Linked DNA regions of Diceros bicornis minor. The protein of the gene in region 1 interacts with the protein of each later gene in a biochemical or structural test. Links are inferred from orthologs where the notes say so. Each region holds a gene or a part of one and is shown on either strand. Other genes may lie near its edges.

Region 1 (3,748 bases):
CACACTCATACACATTTCTCTCACTCACACACACACATTTCTCTCACACACATCATCTCTCCCTCATTCACACACACAACCACTGTCATGCACACTCATACACATTTCTCTCACACACATTTCTCTCACACACATCATCTCTCCCTCATTCACACACACAGCCACTCTCTCATGCATACTCATACACATTTCTCTCACTCACACACTCACACACATCAACTCTCCCTCATTCACACACACAACCACTTTCTCATGCACACTCACACGCATTTCTCTCACTCGTGCACACACACACTCACACACTCTCCCCCACACACTCTCCTCCAGATCATAATCAGCACAGTGCGAGGCCCACAATAGGGCCCCCTTTCCCAACCCTGGCTGACTTGGTGGGGAGAGAGCTGGATTTTGGATTAACTCTCCTAGATTCATACTTTCATACTGAAAAAACTACCTGAGCTCTTGTCTGGCAGAGGTCTAGGATGAGATTTAAGTGGCTTAGAATATTTTCTGGTAAAAGCTACCAAAACAAAGCCCTAGAGCCACAGTGCCTGGGTTTGAATTCTGGCTCCACCACTCACTGGCTGTGTGATCTTAAACAAGTTACTTAGCCTCTCTGTGCCTCAGTAATAATTCCTACTTCCCAGGGCTGTTATGAGGACTAAATGACTTAATATTTGCAAAGAAGGTAGAACAATGCCCAGCAAGTTGTACATGCTACATAAATAAAATAAAAAGTAATTATTTAACTGAAATCAGTATTCACTGCCCATTCACTCACTGCCTCTCATTCATTCGGTTTTTGTTGAACACCTACTGAGTTCATTAGGCCAGACATGAAGGGCACACGCCTCACTATCTAGTAGGAAACACACACACAACAACAGTAAAAACAGTTTCTTTTCTTTTAGGAAAACGTGATAATTCTAAGCAGAGATTTGCACATGATTCTAAGAAAGGCCAGGGAAAGAACATTTACCTATTACCACGTAAACTCAAAAAAATCACCAAAAACCTACAGTTAAATCCTTTGAATCCATTTAAAAGAATGAATTCGGTCGAACTGATTTGTGTATTTAGATTTAGGTTCTGTACACACAAGCATTTTGGAAAATATTCCCATTCAATGCCATCTACTCAACCTCTCTGGATGTTTTTCTTCCTCCCTCCCTCCCGGATCTCCTTGATCACTCAGAAAATAATCTCCCAGCTCGCCCCCAGGCCTCAGTTAAGGGGTGGGAGAGGGGGTATGGTTCAATCAGACCAGCCCTCAGTCACTTTTAAAAACAGCTTATAAATATTTGGGAGCGGGAGGGAGAGGATGGAGAAAAACCCAGTAACTAGGAACGTCTCTACTGATGAACTGGCAGCGGTTGCATTTTAAAATCTTGATGGTTTAACTCAAACCACTTTGTGAGCTGGTACACGTTTAATGACTGATGGAAAAATGAAATTCAGTCAATCCGCACCCCTCCCCCAAATCCATTCAATCCTTTTGGACGAAACCGCTTTTAAATGCACTGAACCCAGTCAAGCTGGTGTCTGTGTTTGTAACTCAGGCCGTCCACACCGACCCTGCGGAGTCCGGATCCTCCGGCGTGAGCCGCGCGGGGCTCCCCGGCGGCGGCGCCCAGGCCCCCGCACCTCTCCCTCCGGCTGCTGCTTACGTGCCTACACCCAGCAACCGGGGAAGCGCTCGGCACTGGGAAGTGGCTGGCGGCTATCACTAGCGGCGGGCCTGCTGTCGATCCCCAGCCCTTCCCTGGCGCACGCCGCCCGCGGACAGCCCCCCGACGCCCCCGAACTTCAGCCGCAGACGCTGCACGTGCGGTCTGGCGACTTTCCTAAACTCCAGGCGCCGGGATCGCGTCGCCAGACCCGGGGCAGGAGCCGCCGGCGCAGCGCGGGGACCCGCGAGTGCAAAGGCTGGGAGGGGAGCGCTGCGCTCCCGCCGGCCGGCCTCGGCGGAGGAACCGCAACCGCCGCCGATGCACTCTCCTCCCCGGAGACTGCGATATTGATCCAGAGTTCCGAGGCGCGGGGGACATTTATCTCCACGGATTTGAAGCTTTCAGCGGAGGAGAAGGGATAGGAAGGAGCTCCCAGGAGCAGGGCGGGGGCGTGTGGAGTGGGGGAGCTGATGAGAGGGTGCTGGGGCGGGTGAGGAACCCATCTCCAGGGCCTCCTGGCCGGGTCTGCATGGGAGGGGTGGCAGGGAGAACCAAGCGTCGACTCCCAAAGCCTAAAGCGATTCTCGGCACAGAGCTGGTTACCCGGGTGGGCGGACCCCCTCCTCCGCCAACATCCCGGCCGCTTCGCCACAACGATTTCTTTTTTCACCTGAGTTCTCTCCCCACCCACCCAGCACCAGCTCCAAAGGTCCAGGGAGAGGGAGTTGGGCTGCCCCTCAAACCCCGGCCGCCCCCGACCTGTGCGCAGCTCTTCCCACTGACCCCCCATCACAGCCACAGCCCACCCGTGTCCCGCGCCGGCCCGGGGCTGGGGGCGCCCGCGCTTCTCTTACCTTGACGAGCCGGAGCTGCGGGCGCCGTCCCATCCTCGGGCTCGCTCGGTCACCGTCCTGGACGCCTGGGTCTCTCGGACATCCCAGAGGGGCCAGCCGCGGGGGCGGGCTCGGGCGGGGCGGGGATGGGGGGCGGCCTGGCTCCTCTGTCGCTGCCCTGCGCCGAGGCGCCCGGCTCCGCGCTCCCCGGCCCGCAGCCCGGCCCGGCCCGGCGGGCTCTCGCTCTCCCCTTCCCGAGGAAGTCCGGCCGCCGTTTCCTGACTCAGCCCGGCCCGCAGCCGCCTCTCGCCCGCCGGGAGCCCGCCTCGCCCCCGCCGCCTCCCCCTCGGTCCGCGCCGCTCTTCGCCTCGGCTCCCCGCCCCCTCGCCTCGGCGTCCCCTCCCCTCTCTCCCTCTCCCCTCCCTTCCCCTTCGGTCCCTCCTCCGCGCCTCGCCCCTCTGCTGCCTCCGCCACCCCGCCTCCCCGTCCCCTCCCCTTCCCCGGGCCAGCTCCTCGCGCCCTAGCCGCGCTGACCCCCTTTCCCTGCGCCCCGGTTTGCGGCAGTCGGCGGGGCGCACTGGCGGCAGTGGCGGCAGCCGCAGCCCAGGGAGAAACCGGGGATGGGGTTGGGGGGTGGGGGGAGACGCGCGGGAGAGGAGGCAGCCTCTCAGCTCCTGCCGGCTTGAAGTCCGGGCCTGGGGAGTCCAAGGAGTCTGAGGGGACTTGGGGGCCTCTGGCAAATCTATGGGAGCGAGGCTATTGGAGACTGGGGAATAGAGCAGCCCCGGCTGAGGGGAGCCTCCGCGGAAACCAGGTGGAGCTGAGGACTGCGTTTGGGCAGTTCCCGCCCTGCATCCCGCGGGGAGAAGGTCCTCACTGCCCCCGCCTCAGCGAGGCCTTTGGCGCTGACACCCCAGGTGCGCGCAGGGACACGAAAGCTCTGCGGAAGAAACCTCATTCATTCATTCATTTCATTCATTCGTTCTTTCATCCATTCATTCATTCTACAAACTAAGCGCCTGCCCAGTTTGGTCCCAGCAAGGGGCTGAACCTGGGAACCCCAAGATGAAGGGGAGACGGCGGTGCCCTGCAGGACTAGCGGACGTCTGAACGCTGCGGCGGGGAAAGCGGAGCGCATTGCGCTGCGGCGGGGGGAAAGCAGCTAGGAATCCAGCGGGCAGAGTGTAGAGGAGGCCACAGCGCCCCCTCTCGGCCGAGCCCTCAGGGTAGGGATCAGCACCCGCG
Region 2 (3,748 bases), on another chromosome or scaffold:
TTTGTTGACATTCTCACTGAGTTCATCTATTCTTCTCCCCACATCAGTGAGCATCCTTAACACTCTTTGTTTGAACTCTCTGTCGGGTAGGTTGCTCATTTCTGTTTCACTTAGTTCCTTTTCTGGGGTTTTGTCCTGTTCCCTTACTTGGAATGTATTCTTTTGCCTCCTCATTTTGCCTCTTTCCCTGTGCTTGTGTCTACGTATTAGGTAGGCCAGCTACGTCTCCTGCTCTTGGATAGGTGACCTTATGTAAGTGATGCCTTAGGAGGCCTCCAGTGTCCTTCCCTCAGTTCTCAATGTTCCAGCGTTGATCCCTATGTGGGCTACATTTGGCCTTCTGTTGTGGCCTGTTTGCTCTCCCTGTAGGTGCCCAGGGAGGCCGAGTTAATGCTCCTGGCCAGCTGTTGTAATGCTCAGCTGCTTGTAGTTGTTGTGGGCCCTTCAGTGTCTTTACCAGGTGTGGGGAGCCCAAGCACAGTTGGCTGCAAGTTCTAATACCACATTTGTGTTGCAGTATTTCTTTTAAGTGAGTAGGCCCCCAGCGTGGCAGGTTGTTAGGCTCAGGGCCTTACAATTGCTGTAAGCCTCTAGCCTATTAGGTCTCTTGTCAGCTCTCTGAGGATTGCAGCTGGGTGGGGCTGGCCTCAGGCACAGGAGCACCCAATTGTTTCAGGCTTTGGAAGGTGGGGCAAACCCCCTATGTGGGTCTTTGAGCAGCACAAGTCTTCTGCAGCTGACAAGCCCTGCTGCCCACAGGTCCATACACACAGTCAACACATTCCTGCCCCGTGTGCGCGCCCCGACCTCCCCAAGCGGACCCAGTCTCTCCACGGCGGGAGCCCCACACACTCCGCCACCGCCCCACACTCTCCACCCGCTCCTTGTGCATGCCCTGCCCCGCTAAAGTCAGCTCAGTTGCCAGGCTGCAGAGAATCCAGTCACCAATCTATGCAGGCCCACAAGTTGCTTGAGGGCTTGTTGTTGGGTGGGGCCAGTCTGTAGGGTGGCTGCCCACCCTGGCTGAGCTGGATTAAATCGGTGGTCTAGCGGGTGGGGCAGACCCTGAGCTAGCAGGCCCCAGGGAGAACTCCAATGGCGTCTGTGTCAGCACGCCCACACTAGGGCACAACAATGGCTGCCGCCAATGTCCCAATCCCTGGAGAGGTCTCACCCCTCACCGAGATGCACTCAGGGCCTCTCAGGTGAGTCTCGTTTCACCGCAGCACTGTGCACCTTTCTTTCTGGTGATTTTAGGATGCTTTCTGAAACGGGTGACTTTGCGCGTGGGCCCTTTAAGAGCCAGTTTTAGTTTCTTTGTGAACCGGCTTTTCTGGGGGTACTCCCCAATGTTTTAGTAGCAGGCAAGTCAGATATTAAGCCACTCATCTCGATTGTGCTGGGTCCACGAAATCTCCACAGCGGGGGCGCTCCCCGACTCGGGGCCCCGCTCCTCCAGGGAGGGTGCGTACCTGTGAAGCTGGCGGCTTGTGAAGACGGCGTTTTTTCTCTCCAGAAGGGAGTTTCTGCCTCTTCTACCTCAGTTAGGATTGTCCGTTGTTGCAGGAGTTCCTCTTATCCAGTTTTCAGTTCTGTCTCAGGGGTAATTTTCCCACGAGTAGTTGTAAATTGGCTGTGTCCGCCGGAGGAGGTGAGTTCAGAGGCTGCCTACACCGCCATCTTGACTTCCTTCCATATGTTAAAATGGCATTTTATCTCAGTGGGAGAAGCATGAGGCCTTAAAATATTTTGTTGGAACAAATGAATAATCCTTTTTTTTAATGTTTAATTTTATTTATTTTTTCTTTTTTTGGGTAACATTGGTTTATAACATTATATAAATTTCAGGTGTACATCATTATATTTCATTTCTGTGTAGCTATGTCATGTTCACCACCCAAAGACTAATTACCATCCATCACCATACACCTGTGCCCTTTTGCCCTCCCCCCCCTTCCCCTTCCCCTCTGGTAACCACCAATCTAATCTTTGTATCTATGTGTTTGTTTGTTGTTGTTGTTATTGCTGTTTTTATCTTCTATTTATGAGTGAAATCATAAGGTATTTGACTTTCTCCGTCTGACTTATTTCACTTAGCATAATATTCTCAAGGTCCATCCATGTTGTCACAAATGGCAACTTGAAAAATTAAGACTACAGCTACCATATGATCCAGCTGTTCCACTTCTGGGTATTTATCCAAAGAACATGAAAACACTAATTTGAAAAGGTATTTGCACCCCTATATGTTCATTGAGTAACCATTTTTTAAAAATGAAATTAAAGTAGATCCCTATCTACTTTCTTACTCCACACCAAAATAAATTTTTGATGAATTAAAGATTTTACTGGAAAAAAATTAAAAAACACGAAGAACTAGAAAAAAAATACCTATGACTATAATATTGCAGTGGAAATGCCTCTCTTAAATTAACATAAACAGTCCAAAGGAAACTAGCTACCGATTTGACTACACAGAAGAGTAAACTTACAAATAACATGGTAGACAAAATTTAAAGTGAAACCATAATCAGGAGAAAATATTTAAGTGTATTTTTAATAGATAAGGCACTATTATGAATCAATATTAATTTTTAAAAAGCAGAACATGAACAAAGAGGTAAACAAGTTAAAAAAATACAAATGACTAATAAACATATATTTGCTTAACTGAACTCACAATAAATAATAATTGAATGAAAACAATGACATAACATTTTTGCACATTACATTGGCCAAAACATATGTTATCTCTAGTTTTGTCTGCTTCTCGTCTGTCTGTCTGTCTGTCTGTCACAGACATCTCAGTATTGTGACAGTGAAGTAGAACAGAAACTCTCTTACACTCTTGGCCTAAGTTTCATTAGTTTGCAGTATCTCTATAGGGCAGTTTGCTTATCCTTATCAAAAGACTTAGGATTTTGCCTTATCTTTGACCACACAATCCTACTTCTATGATTTATCCTAAGATAATTATCATAGAGGAGCATATATAAACCTAAAAAGAGTTTTTTTAATTAGTAGCAACTTTAATTTGTAACAAATGCGTTCAATAAATTGTGGTACAAACATACAATGGAATAATACACAACCGTTCAAAATGATGTTTCAAAGAAGGATCTATTACAAAAGAGAAAGAAGCAGTTTATAAAACCGCATATACAGTATAATATTCATGTAAAAAATGTTTACACATGTATGTGAAAGAGAAAAGTCTGGATGGACGTGTGCACAATTATTTATAGTGGTTAATTCATGATCTTTCTTTTTAAATTTTTTCTTAACCATATTTTCTAAATTTTCTAATTTTGGTATGTATTGTTTTTTGAAAGGGGATTTAAAAAGTTATTGAAAACATTGAATTTCAGTGGAATTTGATATTATTTTCTCTAAAGATAAATATATATCACTATTGGTGAGTCAAAGATCTCTAAGAATGCCCTTTGGCAGTTTTTTTTCATTTTCTCATTTTTTATCCTAGAACTTTATATCATACTCAATTTTTCTATTTTTTTGGATAACATATAAAAGCATTTTATTTTGCTCTCATCCTAAAATTGAACTTAATATACTATCTGACACCTAGATTTTTAAAACCATTTTTCACAAAATGGCACTAGTTTTACCTTTTAAACAGCAGAAATTGCTAAAGGGAAAACTTGCATTTAAATGTATTTACTGTTCAAATTTTTATTTGTCTAACTGTTCTCCCTTCACAGACGTATCTGGCATGCTGATATTTCCTCCA

Evidence for each region. The genes of interacting proteins can lie anywhere in the genome.
Region 2: the proteins of CRHR1 (region 1) and MAGI2 form a complex in vitro, tested with the Homo sapiens proteins (2 studies listed by BioGRID and IntAct, with this or other methods). The link is inferred for Diceros bicornis minor from reciprocal best matches to the Homo sapiens genes CRHR1 and MAGI2.

The regions. Positions count from the first base shown.
Region 1 is NC_080757.1:44,380,551-44,384,298, reverse strand, and holds the start of CRHR1 (corticotropin-releasing factor receptor 1), read right to left. Parts: upstream 2,743-3,748; 5' UTR 2,558-2,742; coding exon 2,525-2,557; intron 1-2,524.
Region 2 is NC_080742.1:16,782,560-16,786,307, reverse strand, and holds the start of MAGI2 (membrane-associated guanylate kinase, WW and PDZ domain-containing protein 2), read left to right. Parts: upstream 1-1,115; 5' UTR 1,116-1,147; coding exon 1,148-1,205; intron 1,206-3,748. UniProt on the Homo sapiens protein: Seems to act as a scaffold molecule at synaptic junctions by assembling neurotransmitter receptors and cell adhesion proteins. Plays a role in nerve growth factor (NGF)-induced recruitment of RAPGEF2 to late endosomes and neurite outgrowth.